Linked DNA regions of Drosophila melanogaster. The protein of the gene in region 1 purifies or fractionates together with the protein of each later gene. This does not show direct contact. Each region holds a gene or a part of one and is shown in the gene's direction. Other genes may lie near its edges.

What was found.
Region 2: the proteins of CG3165 (region 1) and RPA2 purify together in Drosophila melanogaster (affinity purification with mass spectrometry, with the first as the bait; one large-scale study listed by BioGRID). This does not show direct contact.

What each region holds. Positions count from the first base shown.
Region 1 is NT_033779.5:2,975,295-2,979,105, forward strand, and holds CG3165 (uncharacterized protein), read left to right. Parts: upstream 1-1,827; 5' UTR 1,828-1,947; coding exon 1,948-2,236; intron 2,237-2,292; coding exon 2,293-3,059; 3' UTR 3,060-3,206; downstream 3,207-3,811. Other genes in the region: CG9641 (uncharacterized protein), read right to left, coding at 1-1,491; CG9643 (uncharacterized protein), read right to left, coding at 3,252-3,811.
Region 2 is NT_033779.5:20,924,405-20,928,040, reverse strand, and holds RPA2 (replication protein A2), read left to right. Parts: upstream 1-1,893; 5' UTR 1,894-1,994; coding exon 1,995-2,007; intron 2,008-2,065; coding exon 2,066-2,127; intron 2,128-2,190; coding exon 2,191-2,777; intron 2,778-2,866; coding exon 2,867-2,945; 3' UTR 2,946-3,066; downstream 3,067-3,636. Other genes in the region: Nthl1 (Nth-like DNA glycosylase 1), read left to right, coding at 242-352, 417-884, 950-1,120, 1,177-1,593.

The sequences.
Region 1 (3,811 bases):
CTCGCCCGGCTCCTCTTCAATGAACTCCACATCATCGTGTTGCTCTTCAGCTGCCTCTTCCACCTCATCATGATCTTCAGTCATCTCATTCTCATTTTCATCATCATCATCTCCCTTCACTTCGTCCACAACGGTCAGATCAAGATGAGAAATGAACTCTTCGCCGTCCTCTTCGGTTAGGTCAATTTCAGATAACTCGGCGGTGGACCTAGCCTCTGAGCTGCGAACCGCCTTGAGGGCCTCCTTGCCACTTATCTCGCGGCAATTGAGCTGGTTAAAACGGTAGCTAAGGCAAAAGCCCTTCTTCTGCACCAGGTTGTAAGACTTACTGCCACAGCTTATTACTACCACCTTGCCATCCTTGGTCTGGCTTATACGGCCAAATTCCCAAGTCTTCGACAGAAGGTCGCTATTCTGGTCTTTTAAAAGTTGAAACGTGACCTTATCGGGCTCATCAGCTGAACGTGGTACTCTGACTGTGATTCCCTTTGTGGCCGGAATATCATCCTCCGGACAACAAATTAGTTTAGTTTCCGGTAACGCCGTGATCTTGGAAATCGCATGCTCCAGCCATTGGCGGGAGTTCTTGTCCATGCAGACAACTTGGATCATTCCAGTAAGAAATTGAATGCCCCCAAAATTGATGCTGGACTTCCAACCCTTTTTCAACTCCTCCACAAGGCCGGCTTCGATCTCATGCAATTGCTGATTAGTCAGCTCGCAATCCGGATAAGTTTCCGCCATTATTGCCATGGTAATACTATTCTGTTTCGAGGTCCATGACGGCTCTGGGACCCTCTGCTTCTTTACATCCTCATGGGCTCTACCGCCCGACGAGTTATCATCATTCGCACGCTTGCGAACGCGATCATCCGAAATCGGCTGCTCCGGACGCCTGCGTCCGCGGTCAGCCGAAACTGACTTGTCGTACCACTCAGAACGTACCGGACTGGTGCGTCTTTCCGAGGCCTTCATAAGGGCCTTTTCATTGCTGATGCCCGTGTCCAGATAGCGAAAGAACCACTTGCGCTTGGCGGGGCCAAGGAGCGATAGCTCCTTGCGAATGTGTTCCGGCAGTCCCCTTTCACCCGATGTCACCTGCATGGATGAGTTCGGAGTGGGCCAATGGCTCCCGTCGGAAGGGCCGCCGTTGCCGGGCCACGAGCGATTGATGGTGTTGCCTGGCTCAGCTTGATACGAGGGGTCGCGACGCATTTCGTTGTTCCAGTTGACTCTTTCGCGGCTCCAGTTAGAGTTGGCCTGCGGGGCAGCAGGGGATTGGTGGTAGTCAGAGGACATGGAGGGGAACGACCAGGAGGCAGAGCCGTTCAAAGTTTGACCCATTTGGGTCTGATTTGGGATCTGTGATTGGCCCAATTGGCCGAAAAAGCCGTCATAGCCGCGATAAGGGCCATAGTTGGCGGAACTATTGCCATTCATGGGAGCGCGGGCATTGAGCCATTCCCGTTCCTGGCGGTAGGTGGCCTCCATTTTCTAATTATTCTAGTTAGTTCTAATACTCACACAAAATGTTAACTGCACTTGTCGACGTTTGCTGCAAAAGTGAGGAATTAGGTGTAATTCATCCGCTGAGTTAGAGACAGCAAATCCTGGCCTGCTTTGCGTGACACGGGAGCCTAGTGTCAAATTTAAGTTTAGTATTGCCAGCGCGCTTTCTTGCCAATCATTTATTATAGTTGACTAGATTGGGCAATAATCTGGTATATTTTTCAACCGTCTTTTTTTTAAATTAACAATTCTGTTAGTGCACACACTGAGTTTATAAGTTTGTCACGATAGTTCACTGTGCCATCTCTATGTTTTCAAGGCAACAGTAGTGTTGGCAAATGTAATGAGAACTCCGTGTTGGTCCTCAAACATTTTGAATAAAACGAAATATATGTACATACTATGTACATGCACTTTTAGCCACCAGTTGCGCTCTTAATGGCTCCGAACGATGCAGTTGCGGAGCACGCGGAGGAGCAGCCAAAGATTTCCACATTTGCCGTTCTGGACCTAGAGACCACCAACTTGCCTGCCTACAGGAACAACCGAGTGAGCATTACGGAGTTGTGCATTTACGCCTTTGAAGCCGCGCTCCTTAAGAAGAAAAAGAAGGAGCAGGACCAGGATGAGCAGCAGGAGCTGCCAGCGGCACCGCGGGTGCTGCACAAATTGAATGTGCTCTTCCAGCCGTCCATGGTAGTGGACCCGGAAGCGGAGAGAATAACAGGTTAGCTGCAAAATGCACCCGTGAGTCATTCACATAATGATTTTATCACCCAATAGGTCTGAGCAACTACTTGCTGGAGCGGGAGTCCCAGCTAGACACGGATGCCGCGCAACTCATCGTCAGTTTTCTAAAGCACTTGCCGAGTCCGGTTTGCCTGGTGGCTCACAATGGTTGGGGCTTCGATTTTCCCATTCTGAGGCAGGCATTTGAGAAACTAAACATAGAGCTTCCCCAATCCCTGACTTGTGTTGACTCACTGCGCGCCTTCATGGAGATTGACGACACACAACAAAAAGAAACCAGTCAGTTGAAAGTACCCAACGATGTGCAGGAAATCATTCCGGAGCTGAAACCCAAACAGAATACTGAAACTTGCCTCAAGGAGCCAGAAGCGGTCGTGAACATCGATTGGCGAACCAGAAACGAAACCACTCCAAATCGTCCAATTTTAAAGCCTACAGAGGCATTCGCCAAGCGTAAGTTATTACGCGACGGCGATGAGGATGACTTGGAGGAGCAGACCCCTCCCAAGCGGAAACCCGATGAGTTTAGGTCACGACGCCAGCTGTTCAGTGGATGCAAGTGTGCCGAGAACAAACGCTATCCCCCCCGCGGAGTTTATAATTTGGAAAGTCTCTACACGAGAATATTTAAGATACCAGCACTTAGTGCTCACCAGGCAGAGGCTGATGTAGTCATGACCACAAAACTGATACAGCATTACGGCATTGATTTCCTGGCCTTCGCCGAGGAGCAGGCCATTCCATTCCAGCAAGTGGTGCCACTTGGCTCTCCTGTTTGTCGAAAAAAGAGCGCAATCTAACAAATTCTATTCCAGCATGAACTTCATTTTAAAATGTAATGGATTATTATATTTTTTATAATGTAGGATTTTAATAATTGATTTTTAATGTGTTATTATAAATATTTTTATAATAAGTATATTTGTATAAAAGTGTCCAGTCCAACCAGCTTTCCCGGAGAAAAAAGTTATTCACTTTGAGATACAACATGTTTATTCCTTTTTCCTTTTGAAAACAATTGAGGTTACCACATTGCCCACCTTGCCGCCAAACTTAAAGGTCGGCGTGGGAATGGTATAGTACTTGACAAACTTCTCGGCAAAGCTATCCACCAGCTCGTCCTCGGTCCAATTGCACGACGTGATTACAAACAGGCTGTCAGCAGTTCGCAGCAACTTTTCCACCGTGTCCAGGTAGAGAGCACGTTTCTCCTTGGCATTATCCGGACAAAGACTGACTGCATCGTAGGTTCCCTTGTCGTGCACCACGTCAAATTGGCCCAGCTCGTTCTGCGGCTGGGTTAAGTCCGCCACCTTGTATGTGATGCTCAGCTTGTTATCCTCCGCAATGTTTTGCGCCAGCTCGACGGCTTTGGGAGAGTAGTCCACGCCGGTCAGGTCTCCGGTGAAGCCTTCATTTGCCAGGCCCACTAGGAACATGCCATTGCCGCAGCCCAGGTCCAGCACTCGACTCGCCTCCTTGTCGATCTTCTCCTCGTTAAGCAGCCAGTCGATCGTTCGCCATTGGGCACTTTCGTCAAACCAGATCTCGC
Region 2 (3,636 bases), about 18 Mb from region 1:
AGTGCATTAAAATTAAATTTGTGGCTTAAAATGTATTGTAATAGCTTATAACTTATTATGCTGTAGCATACGAAAAATGGTTCTTAAAATCCTAACTTGCATGAGTTGAATATTTCGAAATTTCAAATGTTCCCGGCTACTTAGTTGTAAAGTGTGGCCGTTTCTCCTACATCGAAATCGATAGGTTCGAAATGTAAACAAACATGGAAACTGAAACTGAAGCGCAGAAATTGTATTAGCTATGGCCAAAAATGTAAAGAAATTAACGTTGGCCAACAAGTTGGCAAAACGCGGAGATCTTATAAAACCCACGGAAATAAAAAGTCGTCCAAATAGGGCGGATAACGTGAGGGTAGGCGGAAATGCATGATAAACAATGAAATTGATACTCAAGACGCAGTTTCTAAATCTTCCAGGATATAGAGGATCTGGTTGGTGTATCTGCTGGCGCAGCAGGATCGAGTAGCTCAGTGTTCTTCTCCCCCGTGCAAACCCGCAAGCAGCGTCTCTTAAATGGGGAAGCCGTGAAGAAAACTAACATTAAAATGGAGCCCTTGTCTCCAGCTCGAGTGGCACCCAAAAAGTTTAGAAAGGATGATCGCATGGTAACCAGAGTTCAAATGGGTTCGGCTACTGTGGTCATATGCAAGGTGGTCCCTGATGCTGTGGACTCCCCAGTGAGAGTGGATAAGATAAGAGAGGAGGTGGAACCCCAAATAAAACAGGAAGCTCCGGAGGATTCCCCTTCTTTTTCTGAGGTGCAAGCACCACATCCTTTGTGGTTTAACCACCTAGAAAACATTCGCATTATGAGAAACTCCAGAACTGCGCCAGTGGACACCATGGGATGCCACCGATGCGCCGATTTAAAAGCAGACTCGAAGGTATTTCCAATAAGTGGAATTAAGTACATAGAAGAATATGTTACAAGCAAACAACTTCCTTGCAGACCCAGCGCTTCCAAAACTTAGTGGCATTGATGCTGTCCAGTCAAACCAAAGACCAAACTACTTATGAAGCCATGAATCGCCTTAAAGACCGAGGTCTAACTCCACTGAAAGTAAAGGAAATGCCAGTGACTGAACTCGAGAATTTACTGCATCCCGTATCCTTCTACAAGGTTTGGTGGAATTAATAATAAATAAATATATCGCACTTACTCTCGATCTCTTCCAGAACAAAGCTAAATACCTCAAGCAAACCGTGGAGATACTGACGGACAAGTATGGTTCGGACATTCCAGATAATGTCAAGGACCTTGTAGCTCTTCCAGGAGTTGGCCCCAAGATGGCCCATATATGCATGGCAGTGGCCTGGAACAAGATAACCGGAATCGGAGTGGACGTCCACGTCCACCGCCTTTCTAACAGGCTGGGCTGGGTGCCGAAGCCCACCAAGGAGCCCGAGCAAACCCGTGTGGCGTTGGAGAAGTGGCTGCCATTCAGCCTCTGGTCAGAGGTCAATCATTTGTTCGTGGGATTCGGACAAACCATTTGCACCCCAGTGAAGCCAAATTGTGGGGAGTGCCTGAACAAGGACATTTGTCCTTCAGCCCATGCTGAAACTAAAGAAAAAAGGAAGAAAGACCGATAGGAAAGAGGTTCAGCGAACGCTGAAAAAGGTTTTAGGTTTCTAAGTGTTTCTGAAATTATTAGTGCTAAGAAAAATATTGTGTTACCCATAAGAAAATAAATGAATTATTAAGGGGGCTGTAAGTCCTGTAAAAAATAAAAAATTTTGTGGTTTTTCTTTTTTTGTTTTAACTGAAAAAGGTATATTCCCAATTTATTACAATAATTCAGTTTTTCAGGAAAAATATTGAAATATTGACACTACAATATTTCGTATTTCTTATATACTAAATAGATGTTATTCCTACGTGTTCGACCTACGGCCACACTATCAGCTCTACGTTCGCGCGTTTTATTGTTTACCAGCGGCCCTTGTGAAATTATATAGAATACTCAATTACAAATCCCTCAAAAGCCAAGAAAATGAATGATTCATGTAAGTATAGCCCGTAGCTCAGAGAAATTAAGGGAACTAATAACGAAGCTCGTTTTAGTTGGAGATTTCAATGCCACACAAACTGCGCCAACTGGAGCCGCCAGCAATCAAAAGGGAGAAGTAAGTGAGTGAGACGCCAGTAAAGTTGCACAACCTAACATGATTCCGTATGATTGCAACTAGGGAATAGTGCCCCTGGTGGTGAAGCAGATTGTGGACGCCCCAGAGGGAAACATCGAGTTGTTCGGCATGCAGTACGCCATGGCATGTGTTGTGGCCATAGTGCGGAACGTGGAGACTTCCTCGACGAAGATCACCTACACCCTGGAGGATCATAGCGGCAGGATCGATGCGCACTACTGGCTTGAGGAGGGCGACGCTCTCAAGGCACCCGAAGTAATGGTCAACAACTACGTGAAGGTCTACGGCACCACCCGGTCGCAAGGCGGTTCCAAAACCCTAATGATCTTCAAGCTACTGCCCGTTTTGGATCCCAACGAGGTGTGCACCCACCTGCTGGAAGTACTCAATGCCCGCTACAGGGCCGAGGACTACCAGAGCAAGGGTGGAGCTGGAGCTGGTGCAGGGGCTTCTTCCGGCTCAGGCTCCATAGCTGATTTCACCGCCTCCCAGAGCTCGGCCATTGTCAGTGGGCTGGAGCCCAAGCAGCAGGCCGTATTCCAGGCCATCAAGAGCAATGTTTCCGAGGAGGGCATCTCCCGCAAGGAACTGAAAGCCAAATTCTCCCACATCAGCGACTCTGAGTTGACGTAAGTTGTTTATCCAAAACTATTGCATCATTTGATATTCTTTATTAATTAATATTAATTATAACATTTTATTGTTCCTATTTTTACAGCAACATTCTGGACTTTATGATTTCCGAGGGACACATTTATTCCAGCATTGACGCAGATCACTTTATTTGCACAATGTAAATCAAATCGTGTAACCACTATTTAATTTAAAAATGCGTATTGAATATATGTATTAAGTTTTTGAAAAACGGGAACATTTTCCATATATTAGTTGTACATTAAATATTTCTTATATAATCAGAAAGTGATTTTGGGATATTTTTTATTGGGACTGTTGAAAATGTGTATTTGAGGAAATCTTGCTCTTCAAGTTGCCGGTGTATGTGTATATTTACGGCTTATCATATGAAAAGTCTTCGGATTCATAGTCCTAAGGGAATTTAAAATATCTTACAAAAAAGATAGAAAACCTGAAATATTTTAATTATTTTATGTTTAATTAATATTCTTGTTCATTTATAAAATTGTAATGGATTATAAAGTTTTTTTGAATCGTTTCACTTTGCTTCATTTGATAAAAGGATGTGATAAGTTCATACCGCTTTATTTCATTATCAATTTATTTTTTAGATATATAACTAACTAACTTTTAACGCTAGTAAGTTAATTGTTTAATTAGGTAATGCATATTTTGATTGTATATCGGGCATAGTTAGATCGGATTGCAAAAAATTTATAAAATTCATTCAATGCGTTTTATTTCATTAGTTTTTGAATTTATCATAGAAAATTACAAGCTCAGGAATCAAAATCAAAACATAATAGGCATGCAAATCAAAAATTAAGATTAATATTTGTTGTGGGAATTTAT